Linked DNA regions of Oryctolagus cuniculus. The protein of the gene in region 1 purifies or fractionates together with the protein of each later gene. This does not show direct contact. Links are inferred from orthologs where the notes say so. Each region holds a gene or a part of one and is shown in the gene's direction. Other genes may lie near its edges.

Region 1 (3,814 bases):
TGGAGTGCCAATTCGAGACCTGGCTTCTCTGCTTTCAATCCAGCTTCCTGCTAATGTGCCTCGGAAGGCAGCAGAAGTTGGCCTAAGTCCTTGAGCTCTGCCACCTATGTACTAGACAAGGATGGAGTCCTTGGCTTCTGACTTCAGCCTGGCTCAGACCTGGCTTTCATAGCCATTTGGGGAGTGAGCCAGTGGGTGGAAGATTTTTCCCTCCCACTCTCTGTGCTCTTTCAAATACATACATACATATATAAGTCTTTAAAAAAAATCACGGAAAAATGTGAATTAAGAAACATTCATATGGAATTAAATTTTTTTAAAGATTTATTTATTCATTTGAAAATCAGAGTTACAGAGATAGAGGAAGAGAGAGAGAGAGCACTCTTTCATCCTCTGGTTTGCTCCCCAGATAGCTGTAATGGCCAGGGATGGGCCAGACTGAAGCCAGGAGCCAGGAGATTCATTCAGGTCTCCCACGTGGGTAGCAGGGCCCCAAACACTTGGGTCATCTGCTGCTGCTTTTCCCAAGCTATTAGCCTGGAGCAGCTAGGACATAAACTGGCACCCGTATGGGATGCTGGGGTCTCAGGCAGTGGCTTTATTTACCTTTTATGCCACAATGCCTGCCCCAAAAAGTTTTGCAAAATTTGTTTTTGAAATTTTAATTTTATTTCCCACAAACTTTTTTGAAGTCCCCACATACATGTCAGCAGTAATGTAACCTTTTCAACCCAAGGTTCTTTGAATATGAGGATCCAGACCTTTGGCTATAAAGGGTCAAATGTACTATTATCCTCATTGTAAAAGTCAAGAAAGTGAGATAGAGGGGCCAGCCTTGAGGCATAGTGGGTAAAGCAGCAGGTGGAAGGTCTCTTTGTCTGTCTCCCTCCTTCTCTCTCTGTAATTCTGACTTTCAAAATAAATAAATAAATCTTTTTTTTTAAAAAAGGAAACAGAGACACAGAGGTTAGATAGCATGCAAAAAGGTACTACAGCCAGGAGAAAAGCCTTTAGCTTAAAACTGTGCTGTGAGTCTGGAGGGGTAGTGGGTTCTTTTAAGTGCCATAATGTTTCCCCTCTCTGTTTCAGGTTTTGAAGTGCAGGAAGAAGGCTATCTGGCAAAAATCCTGATCCCTGAAGGCACGAGAGATGTCCCTCTAGGAACACCACTCTGTATCATTGTAGAAAAAGAAGCAGATATATCGGCATTTGCTGACTATAGGCCGACTGAAGTGGCTGATTTAAAACCGCAAGCACCACCACCTGTCCCACCCCCGGTAGGCATACTCCTGGAATTAGGTGATGCCCTGCATTCCTTTCAACGCCAAGATCCTGTGAATGAGGGAGACAGTTCATTGACATTTGTGGCTGTCTCTAGAGGGTGTGTCATGCTGCACTGTTAACCTCAGGGTGGATAGTTTTTTTCTTTTACTTTTCTTTCTTTCTTTTTTTTTTTTTTTTTTTGACAGACAGAGTGGACAGTGAGAGAGAGAGACAGAGGGAAAGGTCTTCCTTTGCCATTGGTTCATCCTCCAATGGCCGCCACGGCCGGCGCACCGTGCTGATCCGAAGGCAGGAGCCAGATGCTTCTCCTGGTCTCCCATGGGGTGCAGGGCCCAAGCACCTGGGCCATCCTCCACTGCACTCCCGGGCCATAGCAGAGAGTTGGCCTGGAAGAGGGGCAACCGGGACAGAATCCGGCACCCCGACCGGGACTAGAACCCGGTGTGCCGGCGCCGCAAGGCGGAGGATTAGCCTAGTGAGCCGCGGCGCCGGCCAGTTTTTTTCTTATAGCTCTTTTCTGCCTGCTATCTTGAGTCCTGCTGAGAGCAAATGTGAGGTGACATGATCTCTTTCTGCTTTAGGTGTAGATATGCTTCTGGAAGGTAAGGTTTCATTTGGCATTTTCTGTTTAATTTACCAGATAATCTGTCACTTTCATTCCTGTTGGTATTTACATATTATAGAGGAACAAGCATATCTTTGTAATACATTGACAGAATATGACTTGTTTAGCATAGAATTTAGTATGCCACTATATGTGTCGTAGCATACACTGTTGATCTATAACATGAACTTGTGTTAACTGCAAGCCAAATAACATGTATGATGACAATTCTAGATGCTAGAGTTATGCGACTTTAGATGAGGTACACATTTCTGTCAGAGAAAACCTGATTCCTAATTGCTGGGTGTTTATGAGGAGCTGGCAAGTGGCAATGTTGATTTAAGATACTTTGGGCCGGTGCCGCGGCTCACTAGGCTAATCCTCCACCTTGCGGCGCCGGCACACCGGGTTCTGTCCCGGTTGCCCCCCTTCCAGGCCAGCTCTCTGCTGTGGCCAGGGAGTGCAGTGGAGGATGGCCCAAATGCTTGTGCCCTGCACCCCATGGGAGACCAGGAGAAGCACCTGGCTCCTGCCATCAGATCAGCGCGGTGCACCGGCCGCATTGCGCCGGCCGTGGGGCCATTGGACGGTGAACCAATGGCAAAGGAAGACCTTTCCCTCTGTCTCTCTCTCACTGTCCACTCTGCCTGTCAAAAACAAGAAAAAAAAAGAAAAAAAAAAAGATACTTTGAACATGGAACCTTCCATCATTTTATATTTTGAAATTAGGTAAGGTAAAAACAAAAACCGTGTTGGAAGTACAGAAGAATGGGAATAAAGAAGTGATATGAGATTAAAATGAAAAAAGGTTGTAGGGATATTATATATTGGTTAGAAGTATTATATTCCACTCATAGACAGGGTGGGAAATGTCCAGCTTGTTATCAGTATAAGGCCCATGAAATTATCTTGTCTGGCCCTGCAAAGGCAACTGTAGGTGGAACTCAAAATTCAATTAATCTAAGCCGGCGCCACGGCTCACTAGGCTAATCCTCCGCCTAGCGGCGCCGGCACACTGGGTTCCAGTCCCGGTTAGGGCGCCGGATTCTGTCCCGGTTGCCCCTCTTCCAGGCCAGCTCTCTGCTGTGGCCAGGGAGTGCAGTAGAGGATGGCCCAGGTGCTTGGGCCCTGCACCCCATGGGAGACCAGGAAAAGCACCTGGCTCCTGGCTCCCGCCATCGGATCAGCGCGGTGCGCCGGCCGCAGCGCGCCGGCCGCGGCGGCCATTGGAGGGTGAACCAACGGCAAAGGAAGACCTTTCTCTGTCTCTCTCTCTCACTGTCCACTCTGCCTGTCAAAAAAATAAAAAAAATAAAAAAAAAAAAAATTCAATTAATCTATAGTAGGCTCATTTTAAAGTTGATTTTTTATTTTTTGTAGTATTTTTTAATTTTGTAGTATCCAAATGACCCTTGTCAGAAAAAAAATTTCCCTATCCTTACAGAGTAAGATAACTTTATTCTGTCCTGGACATAAAGAATTGTCCTTGCCATTCATTTTGCTATATTGTGTTGGTTAAAAGTTAAAAAAAAATTCATTCTGATCTTTTAAAAAAGATGAACATTGCTTAATTAAGTTTTAATTTCTTTATAAAATGGAAACCGAATCTTTCAGGCCGGTCTCTGTGGTGATGAATCAATAATTTGTAGCTTTTTTCGAAAGGTGGCCACAGCTGCTCCAACTCCTCAGCCTTCTGCCCCTACACCTTCAGCCGCCTTGCCAGCTGCTCCTGCTGGACCAAAAGGACGGGTGTTTGTCAGCCCTCTGGCAAAGAAGCTGGCAGCAGAGAAAGGCATTGATCTTACACAAGTAAAAGGTAAGTCTGTTTCTACGGAGAGTGAAAAGTCAGTTGAATTTCCTCCTTAAGACCAGTGAGTTCAACTGTATGTAATTGTCTTAACTGGGACAGTAGGGAGAGGGTGACAG
Region 2 (3,814 bases), on another chromosome or scaffold:
TATGTTAGGAAGCTGGAATCGAAAGCAGACCTGGGAATGGAACCCTGGCACCTGGATGTGTGATGCAGGCTCCCAAGCAGCAGCTTAACCCACTAGGCTCTGCAATAGGGATTAAATCATAGTTTAAGTTGAAGTATGATAGAGTAAACTCTTAGCTTGTTCAAATGAACAGTATCCAGTTATGATTTAAGAATAGCATAAATCAGCCGGCGCCGCGGCTCAATAGGCTAATCCTCCGCCTAGCGGCACTGGCACCCCGGGTTCTAGTCCCAGGCGGGTTCTAGTCCCAGTCGGGGCGCCGGATTCTGTCCCGGTTGCCCCTCTTCCAGGCCAGCTCTCTGCTGTGGCCAGGGAGTGCAGTGGAGGATGGCCCAGGTGCTTGGGCCCTGCACCCCCAGGATAAGTACCTGGCTCCTGCCATTGGATCAGCACGGTGCGCCGGCCACAGCACGCTGGCCGTGGCGGCCATTGGAGGGTGAATCAACGGCAAAGGAAGACCTTTCTCTCTCACTGTCCACTCTGCCTGTCCCCCCCCCAAAAAAAAAGCATACATCTCAGATTATCTAGGCTCTTCAGTATAGCCATTAATTTCATTATGTTCTCATAATTTCTTTTTAAAACACACATATTTATTTGAATCTTCCATTTGCTGGTTCACTCCCCCAGATGCCCATAACAGCCGGGACTGGACCAGGAACTCCATCCAGTGGTTGGCAGGGGCCAAGTACTTGGGCCATCTTCTGCTTTCCCAGGCACATTACGGGGAAGCTGGATTGGAAACAGAGTAGCTGGGACTCACACCACATTCCTATGTGGGATGCCAGTGTTGCAAGCAGACACTTAATCTCATGTGCCACAACACCAGCCTGTCTCATGAATTCTTGGAAAACAAAGTGGTAAAGTGAACAGGTTTGGTTTTTGCCACCTTTCTTTCTGCCTTCAGATAGCGGTGGGATTGTGCTTTATTGGCCAGAGTGTGGCTTCATTTTGGAAGGTGAGGAAGATGACCAACATCGTGAACAGAATGGAAGAGAGAGAAGCCCATGAATATGCTGGGGTTTATTAAAGTTCCATGAGTACATCATCACTGAGTAGTAATTCTGACTATCCAAGATGGCTGACAAAACATAATGATGTGTTTGTGTGTTTTCTTTCTTTCAAGGCAAGCAGAGTGCTGGTGGCATCCCGTAATTTTGCAAATGATGCTACCTTCGAAATTAAGGTGAGAGGTGCTTTTACGTTGTGTTCAGAATTTTTCAAAAGGTACACACTGATGTCCAGTTTTTATAACTTTTATATTTAGAATAGACCTTTTGATACTCTTCATTTTCTACCAGATGTTTCATAAGTTAGAGTTGTTTACCAAAAGTTAAGAGTTTGTTATTCTTGGCATGTTGCTGATATGGGTGAGGCCGGGGGGGGGGGGGTTAAAAGGAAGAAAAACTTACTCCAAAGTTTAGAGTGAAACACTTGAACATGAACATTCCTAAATGTTCCTTTGAAAGCTTCACCCCATAGCTCAGTTGACTTCTAGGGGTTTTCAGTGAAAGTCTACTAAGAACAACTTCCCTCCCCCTGAAGCCCTATCCATCCCCTTGCACAGAGAGGCGTACAGAGCGAAGGAATCAGGAGCAGTAAGGAAGCATTTCTGATGCGCTCCTTGGCGGTCTCCCGCGTTTGATAGCACTAGCGATGGAGTGAGGTCTCAGAATGAGTCAGCAGCGTTAGCTACGTGGTAACCCGAGGATGACTGCCTGCCTTAACTCTGTTTCAGAAATGTGACCTTCACCGGCTGGAAGAGGGCCCTCCTGTCACGACAGTGCTCACCAGGGAGGATGGGCTCAAGTATTACAGGATGATGCAGACTGTGCGCCGAATGGAGTTAAAGGCAGATCAGCTGTATAAGCAGAAGATTATTCGTGGTTTCTGTCACTTGTGTGATGGTCAGGTGAGTGTAGGTTTGTACTAAAACTGTCTCATTTAGGTAGGTAAGTATGATTCTCGTTTGTTGATGTTACCTTGTCGTATGTGTTAAGTACCTGAGGTTCATATTTTTAGAATAAAATTAGAATGCCAACACCTTTTATTCATTTATAACATTGCTAATTTCCTGTACCTGTTCTTAGAATTTTACTGTTTTAAAATTTTCGGACATTTCAATTCCTGTATTGTACTCACTTTTGAAAGGGTTATTTGGTTTTGTTTTGGTAGGTTTAGGCCAAGGGTTACAAAATCAGGTGCATGTCGACATCACTTCCAGGTTGTTGTTTTTTTTTTAAATCGCTGTGCAGGCTAAAGGAAATTGCACGTCTGGCTGCCAGTTTACAGCTGCTTGTTGAGCCTTCCATGCCACTGTGGTGTTGGATGAAAAATAGCCACTTTGTGGTATCAATGCCAAGTTCTAGCATACATGTTTCATATCAGTCTGGGAAACCTCTTTATCCAGAATCAGAGCCTCACGTTCTTTTCCTCCTTTAACGCAGGAAGCTTGCTGTGTGGGCCTGGAGGCCGGCATAAATCCCACGGACCACCTCATCACAGCCTATCGGGCTCACGGCTTTACCTTCACTCGGGGCCTTTCTGTCCGCGAGATTCTCGCAGAGCTCACAGGTTTGCTCTCGATTCACAGAAAGGGGACGGGAGCGGGTTCAGTGTTCAAACGTCTGCCCTTAAGATGCTAGCTGTTAGGAGCGAGTTTAGAAACACTCCTTTCTCAGGTGCTACTCTGGTACCTCTGTTGTGCCTTGGAGTGCACTGACCGTTCTGGGAAGTCCTTCAGCTTCTCGGGGAAAAGTTCCAGAGGTTAGTGCTGTGACGGCAGAACACGTGTAGTCACTCAAGCATGCCAGCAGATATCTAGCAACAATGGGCTTGAACCCAGCGTGATGTGCAGTGTAGTCTCGGCATCTTCCCAACACTCCCTCTTTGTCCCTCACAACTCTTGAATTGTTAAGTTTACCAGTGCAGAAGTCAGTAGATGCTTGTCACCCTGAAAAAAAGTCCAGGACACCAGACTAGCATGGAAAGGTGGTTAAGTGATTAGAGATCAGGAAAGATGGAGAGCTTCCTTCTAATGGATATGGAGAGGGGCCGGCGCTGTGGCGTAGCAGGTAAAGCCGCCACCGCCTGCAGTGCCGGCATCCCGTATGGGCGCTGGTTTGAGTCCCGGCTGCTCCACTTCCGATCCAGCTCTCTGCTGTGGCCCGGGAAAGCAATAGAACATGGCCCAAGTCCTTGGGCCCCTGCACCCATGTAGGAGACATGGAAGAAGCTCCTGGCTTTGGACTGGCGCAGCTCCAGCTGTTGCAGCCAGTTGGGAAGTGAACCAGCGGATGGAAGACCTCTCTCTCTCTACCTCTCCTTCTAACTCTTTCAAATAAACAAATCTTTAAAAAAAAGATTTTAAAAATAAAGGCTATGGAGACAAGGGGGAACACATTTGCCAAGAGAGACAGGTACCCAGATAGCTGAATTGGTGTCTGAGTTCTAACGATTGGGACTCGGAGTGAGAACTTGGGGTGTGGCTTGCTTCATGCAGGTGCGTACTGTGATTGCAGGGCGAAGAGGAGGTTGTGCGAAGGGGAAAGGAGGATCGATGCACATGTATGCCAAGAACTTCTACGGGGGCAATGGCATCGTCGGCGCTCAGGTAGAGGAACAATTCCCTTGAGGCTTTCTGTACTTTGGGGGTTGGTTTGCTTTTAAATATTCGTTGCTTCATACCCTACTGTTGGAGCAATTAATCAGTAGATTTGGAAGGTAGTTTAAATAATTTCCTTTTGGAATTTAGGTTTAATAAGAAAGCAAGAAGCCC

The links.
Region 2: the proteins of DLAT (region 1) and PDHA1 fractionate together in Homo sapiens (co-fractionation; 3 studies listed by BioGRID). This does not show direct contact. The link is inferred for Oryctolagus cuniculus from reciprocal best matches to the Homo sapiens genes DLAT and PDHA1.

What each region holds. Positions count from the first base shown.
Region 1 is NC_091432.1:103,981,873-103,985,686, forward strand, and holds part of DLAT (dihydrolipoyllysine-residue acetyltransferase component of pyruvate dehydrogenase complex, mitochondrial), read left to right. Parts: intron 1-1,089; coding exon 1,090-1,277; intron 1,278-3,550; coding exon 3,551-3,704; intron 3,705-3,814.
Region 2 is NC_091453.1:5,384,331-5,388,144, forward strand, and holds part of PDHA1 (pyruvate dehydrogenase E1 component subunit alpha, somatic form, mitochondrial), read left to right. Parts: intron 1-1,162; coding exon 1,163-1,222; intron 1,223-1,774; coding exon 1,775-1,948; intron 1,949-2,483; coding exon 2,484-2,610; intron 2,611-3,557; coding exon 3,558-3,649; intron 3,650-3,814. UniProt on the Homo sapiens protein: The pyruvate dehydrogenase complex catalyzes the overall conversion of pyruvate to acetyl-CoA and CO(2), and thereby links the glycolytic pathway to the tricarboxylic cycle.